Linked DNA regions of Callithrix jacchus. The protein of the gene in region 2 purifies or fractionates together with the protein of the main gene of each other region. This does not show direct contact. Links are inferred from orthologs where the notes say so. Each region holds a gene or a part of one and is shown on either strand. Other genes may lie near its edges.

Region 1 (4,333 bases), on a different chromosome or scaffold from region 2:
AGTTTGACTTAGATTGTAAAGAATCCAAGAGTGAAGTTTAATTGGCTACTATTTTAAAAGCATGTGACCTTATAGATCATCTATAAAATGTGTGAAGTGTTAAATAATTTTTTATATTACACATAAACCACACAAAATGCCTTTCAGTAAGTAAAAGGAACCATTTTAAATACAGGGTACTCTAATTAGATTGGCATAGTTAAGGCCAAAAATATAAAATAGCCATTGCTACCCGTTTATCTTCAACCTTGCCTTTAAGAGGCAAACGAACACAAAACACAGGTGAATCTTGCTTGGTTCTGAGACTGTGAAGGAATTGCCCCCATATTTAAATATATTCACATAACCAGTCATATAAATCTAAATATAAAACCAATCTCCAGTAAGTTTTAAGATGGCACTCACCATCTTTGCGAAAAGTTTTAACATTACTAATGAAGTCTAATCATATCTTTAGAAGGGGTGGGTGTGACAGAATTTACTAAATTGGAATTACTATTAAAATCCAAAAACTGAACATATTCATTTAACCACAAGCCAGTCTTAGTCTTAAATCAGGACTGCCCAACAAAATATTCTGTCAGTCATTCATGATGTAAATTCTGGTGTATGAGATCTATTAAAGTACGGTACACATAAAAAAGTCATGAGACATTTGTTTTGTAATAAATAAGGCAGTGGCCAATTATTACTCATTAGTAGCTTTTTTGAGATAAGCTATTAAGTCTTCCCTTTCTCCCTTCTTCTTAATGCCGACAAAGATCATTTTTGTTCCAGGGATATACTTCTTGGGATTCTCCAAATATTCCATCAGTGTATCCTCTCCCCAGATGATGCCTAAATGATAAAGAATGCATCCATTAAGTATTTCACACTCCGGAGTTTGCCACAGGTTACGTTCATGCGTTTTGTGCTGTTTTATTTAACAAGTGTTCTCCTCTTACCTTTGTTTTTATTGGCTTCAGTGTAAGTGAATCCAGAGGCCTGACCTGTCTTCCGCCCAAAGATACCATGGAGATTAGGCCCAGTCTTGTGCTTGCCTCCCTTTTCCACCGTGTGACATTGGGAACACTTCTGAATAAAAATCCTCTTGCCTTTCTCAACATCACCCATATTGAATTCTAAAAACGAAAGACCCAACAATAATTTTTCTTCAGGTAACAAATACAGTGTAAACTAATGACCACTCTAGTCACTTAATTACCAATCCATTGATAATTTATGTCATTAAATACTAAGATGAATCTTCTTTTGCTTTAATACTTTTTATACCCAATACTCTTTCATACCAAAAACATTTTTTAGGAGCACCTCCTTAAAAACCTGTTTTTGTGTGTATACGTGAAGGAAGGTTAAAACCCAAGCAAGCAAATGGGAACGTAATTCAAACTTCAGTTTCAGAAGATAAGGTCATGATCACAAACAGTCACAGATACGAAGCAGAACAGCGAACATTAAGTGAAAATCACCACAACTGCAACTTTTAAGAAGGTCTAATCATTTAATCGTACTACAATGTAAAGCCACCTCTCCCTGAGGATAATGCAAAGCACAAATGTTTAAAAATCGGTCCTGGGTCCCGGCGCGGTGGCTCACGCCTATAATCCCAGCACTTTGGGAGGCTTGGAGGGGTGGGTTGTCATCACCAGGTCAGGAGAACGAAACCACCCTGGCTAACATGGTGAAATTCTGTCTCTACTAAAATACAAAAAAAAAAAAAAGCCGGGCGCGGTGGCTCATGCCTATAATCCCAGCACTCTGGGAGGCCAAGAGATTGAGACCATCCTGGTCAACAAGGTGAAACCCCGTCTCTACTAAAAATACAAAAAACTTAGCTGGGCATGGTGGCGCGCGCCTGTAGTCCCAGCTACTCGGAAGGCTGAGGCAGGAGAATTGCCTGAACCCAGGAGGCGGAGGTTGCAGTGAGCCGAGATCGCGCCATTGCACTCTAGGCTGGGTAAGAAGAGCGAAACTCCATAAGAAAGAAAAAAAAAAAAAAAAAAAAAAAGCCGGGCGTGGTGGTGGAAACCGGTAGTCCCAGGTACTAGGGAGGGCGAAGCAGGAGAATTGCTTGAACCCGGGAGGCGGAAGTTGCAGTGAGCCGAGATCGTGCTACTGCACTTCAGCCTGGGTGACGGAGCGAGACTCCGTCTTCAAAAATAAATTAAAAATAAAATAAACGGTTCTGATTGTTTCTACCTGCCCAGGGCACAAGAGTAGCTTGACACTACTCCTGCGTGAATTGGAGCGCAGGAGTAGGCTGCACGGTGTCCCCAAGAAATCCCCAACTCTCTTACCGGTGATCCCCCCGAGGTGACCACGAGGTCACCCATCCAGGTCGGTTTCAAGGTGACTGATGAAACCCACGTTTCTAGGACGCCGCAACGATTGAAAGAACAAACATGTGCCCACGAAAAGAACAACCCCTTATTAGAGGAGCAACAGCTTTTGCCCTCTGAAGCAGAAAATGAAACGCTACGCTTCGGTTTTAAGGGAGGGAAGTCTGGCCTATCGTTTCCATAGCCCTTCAACAACCACGACGGAAGAGGACGCGTCTTGCCGTCTCCAGTAACTGACCGAGACCTTAGTTGGGCTTCCGCCCTACCTCAAGCGGTTGATCGCCTGGCTCTCGTTTGACCATAGTCTAGGGTCCTCACGTCCGGCCTTCCCACCCCGCGCGGGCTCCCCTCGAAGGCTCCCCGCGTATCCTCGCGAATACGTGCCCCCCACAGCTCTGCTTCTAACCAGATGCGGCTTCCGCGACCCGCTCTCACCTTTTTCGTGGTTAGCGCAACAAAGACTACCACTCAGAAGCCGGACGTCCCACTCTCTAAGTCCAAGGACACGCCGGTCCGCGCCTAAGTACCAGTGTAAGTGCAACCAAACTCGCTCCGCCCTCCCGCGCCCTGACGTACAGCCGAGCTTGCGGCTACGCAGTGACGTTGCCGCGCTTCATTGGCTCCAGTGCCAATGCTTGCGCCAAGGATCTGCGCGCGCATACCAGCGAGCAGGGTAGGCTGTGCGGCGTGCGTGCCCTTCCTCTCCAGGCCTCTCTTGCCGGGCCGTTACGACAGGCCTTTGGTCAAACGACGTCGCGGTGGTGCCGGGAGGGGTGACGTCACTCGCAGGTCTTTGTGCGCTTGCGTATACTAGAGGGGCGGGGAGGGTGGGGCGGAGTCGGTGGTGGTTTGGCGCGTTACCCTGCTAAAGTAACAGGCCTGGTGATGTAATGAGCTTTGTTTGGGCAGGGCGTTCCGCACGTCCAGGAGAAGACGCCCTAATTCTGGCTCACCTAGAGGTCTCCTAGCTACCGTCTCGTCAGCAGACGACCTTTACCCAGGCTCTGTCATACTAACACTGCTGGCGCCAACAGCATCCCAGAGGCACAGCCTGGAACCAGGAGTTAGACGAGTTGGGCACTTGCTCGTGACCTTGTTCTAGTTCCACCTCTACTGTGTTACTTTCAGTCATCTTCTAGCTCTCCGCTTGTTGGACGCCCCAAGAATGGGGAAGGTGCTGCATTTGCGGTAGAGACAATTATATCTCTGGCCCCTTACCTGTCGGCAACTTTTCTGCCAGCGCCCTCCTCCCCCTCACGTTCGTGTGCAGAAAGAACATGGAAGGTGTGTTGGCACCATCTAAGAAGAAACATGTTTAGATGATTAGAGAATTCTTGGAAATCTAGAGGATTTGCATCCCTTCTGACCTAGGTAAATGTCATGTTCAAGTAAGCTTATGCATGAGGTCTTATTAGAAATAAAGGCGTTAATACCACAGCTTTTAGTTATTATAATTTAAAACTAGATCCCCTTCCTGACATGCTCAGTTCTGTCACTGGTTTTTTTTTTTTTTTTTTTTTTTGACACCTTTACTCCTCAAATTCTAGCCCCATGTTCTGATTAATTTTCATCCTTTCTTGTATTCTCTCCCCTCCACTCCCTCGCCTTGTATTCTATCTGACACTGCCGTATTCAGTCGTATTCATTGGCCGGACAAGGTGATTCACACCTGTAATCCCAGGACTCTGGGAGGCCGAGGCGGGCTAATCACCTGAGATCAGGAGTTTGAGACCAGCCTGGCAATATGACGAAACCTCGTTTCTACTAAAAATACAACAATTAGCCGGGCATGGTGGCACGCACCTGTAATCCCAGCTATTCACGAGGCTGAGGCTGAGACGGGAGAATCGCTTGAACCCGACAGGAAGAGATTGCAGTGAGTTGAGATCGTGCCACTGCACTCCAGCCTGGGCGACAGAGTAAGACTGTCTCAAACAAACAAACAAAAAAAGCATTTATTATGCATGTTATGTGCCAAGCATTTTTCTAGGTAC
Region 2 (3,603 bases):
AACAGTCAGTGTACTAAAACTCTTGTTTTATAGATTTGTCATATAGCTGATTGTGGTTTTTACTAAAATGTTCTTAAAAGTGTCAACCTCCAGGTTCTTTTTTTTTTTTTTTAAGGTATGGAATATTTTTACTGGAAAAGTAGAAAAAGACTTTGTCTGTCACCAGGGTACAGTACTTTCTTGTGACATTTCTCATGATGCTACCAAGTTTTCATCTACCTCTGCTGACAAGACTGCAAAGGTAGGTCAATCAGTTGAAACCCTGCATAAAACTTTGGTAGTGGTTATGCATAATGAGTCCAAATAATATATCCAACAGGACATAACAGTTGCTCGCTACATGTCTGTCTCATGTTTTGTTATCTTTTGGAGGATACCCATTGGTATTTAGTTGGTGTCAAATTAAATACATTGAGGACTAATGATTTCTCCCTTATGGATTATTTTTTGTCTATAACTAATCAAATGCAACCTCTATTACATATTGTAGGCAATAAAAATCATTGAAAGGGATTTACATTTAATTATACACTGATGGTAAAATTTTAACATAATTGATGTAATATAATAGACTTGTGTATAAAATCACATTCTGCTGAATGATGCTGCTTGGTTGGGGACCTTGAGTATTCCCTTCTCTCCTTTTTTCTCCTACCAATCTTTCCAGACTATAAACCTTGGAATCGTCAGGGACTCTATTTTGATTTTGACTTTTGTGCTCTGTTGATGACTCTTTAGTGCCCTATAGATTTGTCTTCTCCTCCTTGTCACTGCCCTGAAGAGCATGCTTTCCTCCTCCTCCACTGGTGGACTGTCCCAGCATCCTGCCTCTGGTCTGCACCTCTTCTACTTTATCTTCCATACCACTGCCTGTGTCCCTTGTTGAAACACCTGTTATCTGATGGTTTGTAGGCCAACTACTTAGCTTATCACTGTCTTTTTCTGCTACATTGTTTCCTCTATGCCAGCCTGCTTTCCACCTTCATCTTTTTGTGCATGCTGCTAACTTTGGTTTGATAAACCTCTACTCTTTTACCTTGAAGCATTGTGACTCATCCTTCTAGACTTAGATTTGATGGCAGCTCTTTTGAAGCATTTTCTTCTCTACCTTCAGGGTTTCTATTACATTTTATTCATTTGTTAGAACATTTACTTCATACAACTGTTCACTAACTGTTTATGAGCCTGCCTTTGTGATTGTACTATAAACTTTTCAAGGATAGTGACTGTAGCTAGTTTATCTTTTTGCACCACTAGTTCTTAGCTCACAGTGCTTGGAACTTGGTAGTTTTTAATATGTGCTTGCTAAATGAGGTTGACAAAACCATGAGAAAAAATATTGAAAGGAAAAAACCCCAGCATTTGGCTGCCAAGATAGTAGACTAGTATAGTGACTAACCTTTAAAGATTGTCACATGCTAGTAATTTCACTCTTTATAATCTCATTTAATTTTCACATCATAGGTAAGATTGTCCTCATTTTACAGATGCAGAGTCTGAAGCTATAGAAACTTATATGAGTTGTCCTAGTCACAAGAATCTAGCTAACAGTGGAGCCAGGACACACACTGAGGTCTGCTTCACTCCACAGACTGCTCTTAGCTGATTCAGTCTTCTTCCATCTAGGTCTAAAGTAGGGAAGAGGTGACATTGATCTTTGAGCTGAATTTAACTGAGTAATTAAAGGGAAACTAAGAAAAATTAAGAAGATTGCATGCTGGAACTTGGGCATCTCATGAAAGTTTATGAATTACCAAATATTAGAACTTCCATGTGATTGAATTTATGGCTGAAGAGCACTCAAGGCAGGGTTTGCAGATGGTTACTTTGAGCATATGTAGCATTGCTAAACAATCCTAATTGCCTTCCAGATCTGGAGTTTTGATCTCCTTTCGCCACTTCATGAATTGAGGGGCCATAATGGTTGTGTGCGCTGCTCTGCCTTCTCTGTGGACAGTACCTTGCTGGCAACGGGAGATGACAATGGAGAAATCAGGGTAGGCTGTTTGCTGGCATGAGAGCACTACTCTTCTTGTAGCTTGGGCTAGTACTCTTCACAGTGGGGACCTTTGTTCATGGGCCAGGGAAGCCTAGTTCCTGAAGTTGTGGTTGGATGAGGCATTCTTTTTGTTTCTTGTGCACATTGTATTCACAGCTGCGCTCCACTGCAGAAATGAATTTATTTTAGAGTTAGAGTGAAGCATTCCCTGTATATGTGAGAAGGCAAATGCTCTAGTTATTTGCAGTTCATTCTGCACCATTAGCTTGAGAATGATTCATCTTAATTTTTGGACTTGAACCAAAGGTTGTTTTTGGTAGCAGGATTTGAGGAAAATAATTTTGTAAATTGTGGTCTGGATTATAAATGAATTGCAAATCCTGCAGTTTCTGTGCTGAAAGAAAAGATCTCTTTAGCACTATACCCATTAGATAGCCATCTCCAGTGTGGTTTGTTGCAGTCCTCTGAGGACTGCCTGCCGGTTGAACAGAGCAGAGGTTCACATTTCGGTCACTGGGGGGCAGCGGAGAGCTCCTTATTGAGTCAGAGTCTCCATGATAGGCCAATTTTTATTACCCTGCGGTGCTTAAGATATGCATGCAAACCATGACAATTTTATTTAGAAAACCATTTTTTAAAAATATATAATTTTGACTTTTAGAAAACAACTTTTTAGGAGGCATAGAATGTTGTTTTCTTTGTATCTATGGAAACATAGTACACTATGGAAAAGTATTACATGCTGAAAGATTAGAAATTATGGAAAAGGAGTCAATTGACTTAGTTGTGTCAGAAGAACTATGGGGAGCTGATTGGAAAAGTTTGGGCATTGGGATGGTTGCTTTGGTAACCAGTGTATATGAGGAAGGTGGGGGTTTTCCCCCTTTCATTACAAAGGAGGATTTACAACTCCAGGAATAGGTATAGTGCAGAAGACTAGGAGAGTATACAGTTTGCAGGAATAGAGGTGTTATCAGATGGGCTTTCCAGGGAAATTAAGATTCTTCTTCTTGAGGACTAAGTAACCAACCTTCTCTACCAGTCACATAAATGTGTGTCAGCTGAAGTGGCAGGGCTGCTTTGGAAATGTTCATTTTGCTCTGAGTTTGCATCTTTGGATAAAAGTGCTCCTTTACCAGTTACGAGGTGGCATTTCAGTTTTCAACCACTGCAGAAAAAAATTGTCTCTCTTAAATTGTGTTATTTTACAAATATTTGTTGGTACATTAAAAAAATTTTTTCTCCCTAATTATTCAGAATATTGGAAAGCTGCTGATTTTTGTATGTATATGTACTGTCTTACTGAACTCTTTCTAATGAGTTTTTCCATTTGATTCTCTTGGATTTTCTAGGGAGACATTTGCAAATGATGATTTTATTTTCTTTTGTCATTTATGCCTCTGTTCTTTTTCTTATTCTGATGTACATTTATTTGAAGAATTAGAGCACTGCTTATATATTAAATGTCACTGGAAATAAATGGAAATATTAGCATCTGTGATAGGGTTGTTTATAAAAGTCTAGTAAAATAATTTTAGAATACATATATATGGTCATATATATGTTTTAAAACTAGAGAAGCTTCTGTATAACTCTGTTAATGA

Evidence for each region.
Region 1: the proteins of APAF1 (region 2) and CYCS purify together in Homo sapiens (affinity purification with western blotting; 3 studies listed by BioGRID and IntAct, with this or other methods). This does not show direct contact. The link is inferred for Callithrix jacchus from reciprocal best matches to the Homo sapiens genes APAF1 and CYCS.

What each region holds. Positions count from the first base shown.
Region 1 is NC_133512.1:32,935,800-32,940,132, reverse strand, and holds the start of CYCS (cytochrome c), read right to left. Parts: upstream 2,833-4,333; 5' UTR 2,775-2,832; intron 1,122-2,774; 5' UTR 1,114-1,121; coding exon 945-1,113; intron 838-944; coding exon 689-837; 3' UTR 1-688. UniProt on the Homo sapiens protein: Electron carrier protein. The oxidized form of the cytochrome c heme group can accept an electron from the heme group of the cytochrome c1 subunit of cytochrome reductase.
Region 2 is NC_133510.1:101,817,149-101,820,751, forward strand, and holds part of APAF1 (apoptotic protease-activating factor 1), read left to right. Parts: intron 1-115; coding exon 116-241; intron 242-1,871; coding exon 1,872-1,997; intron 1,998-3,603. UniProt on the Homo sapiens protein: Oligomeric Apaf-1 mediates the cytochrome c-dependent autocatalytic activation of pro-caspase-9 (Apaf-3), leading to the activation of caspase-3 and apoptosis. This activation requires ATP. Isoform 6 is less effective in inducing apoptosis.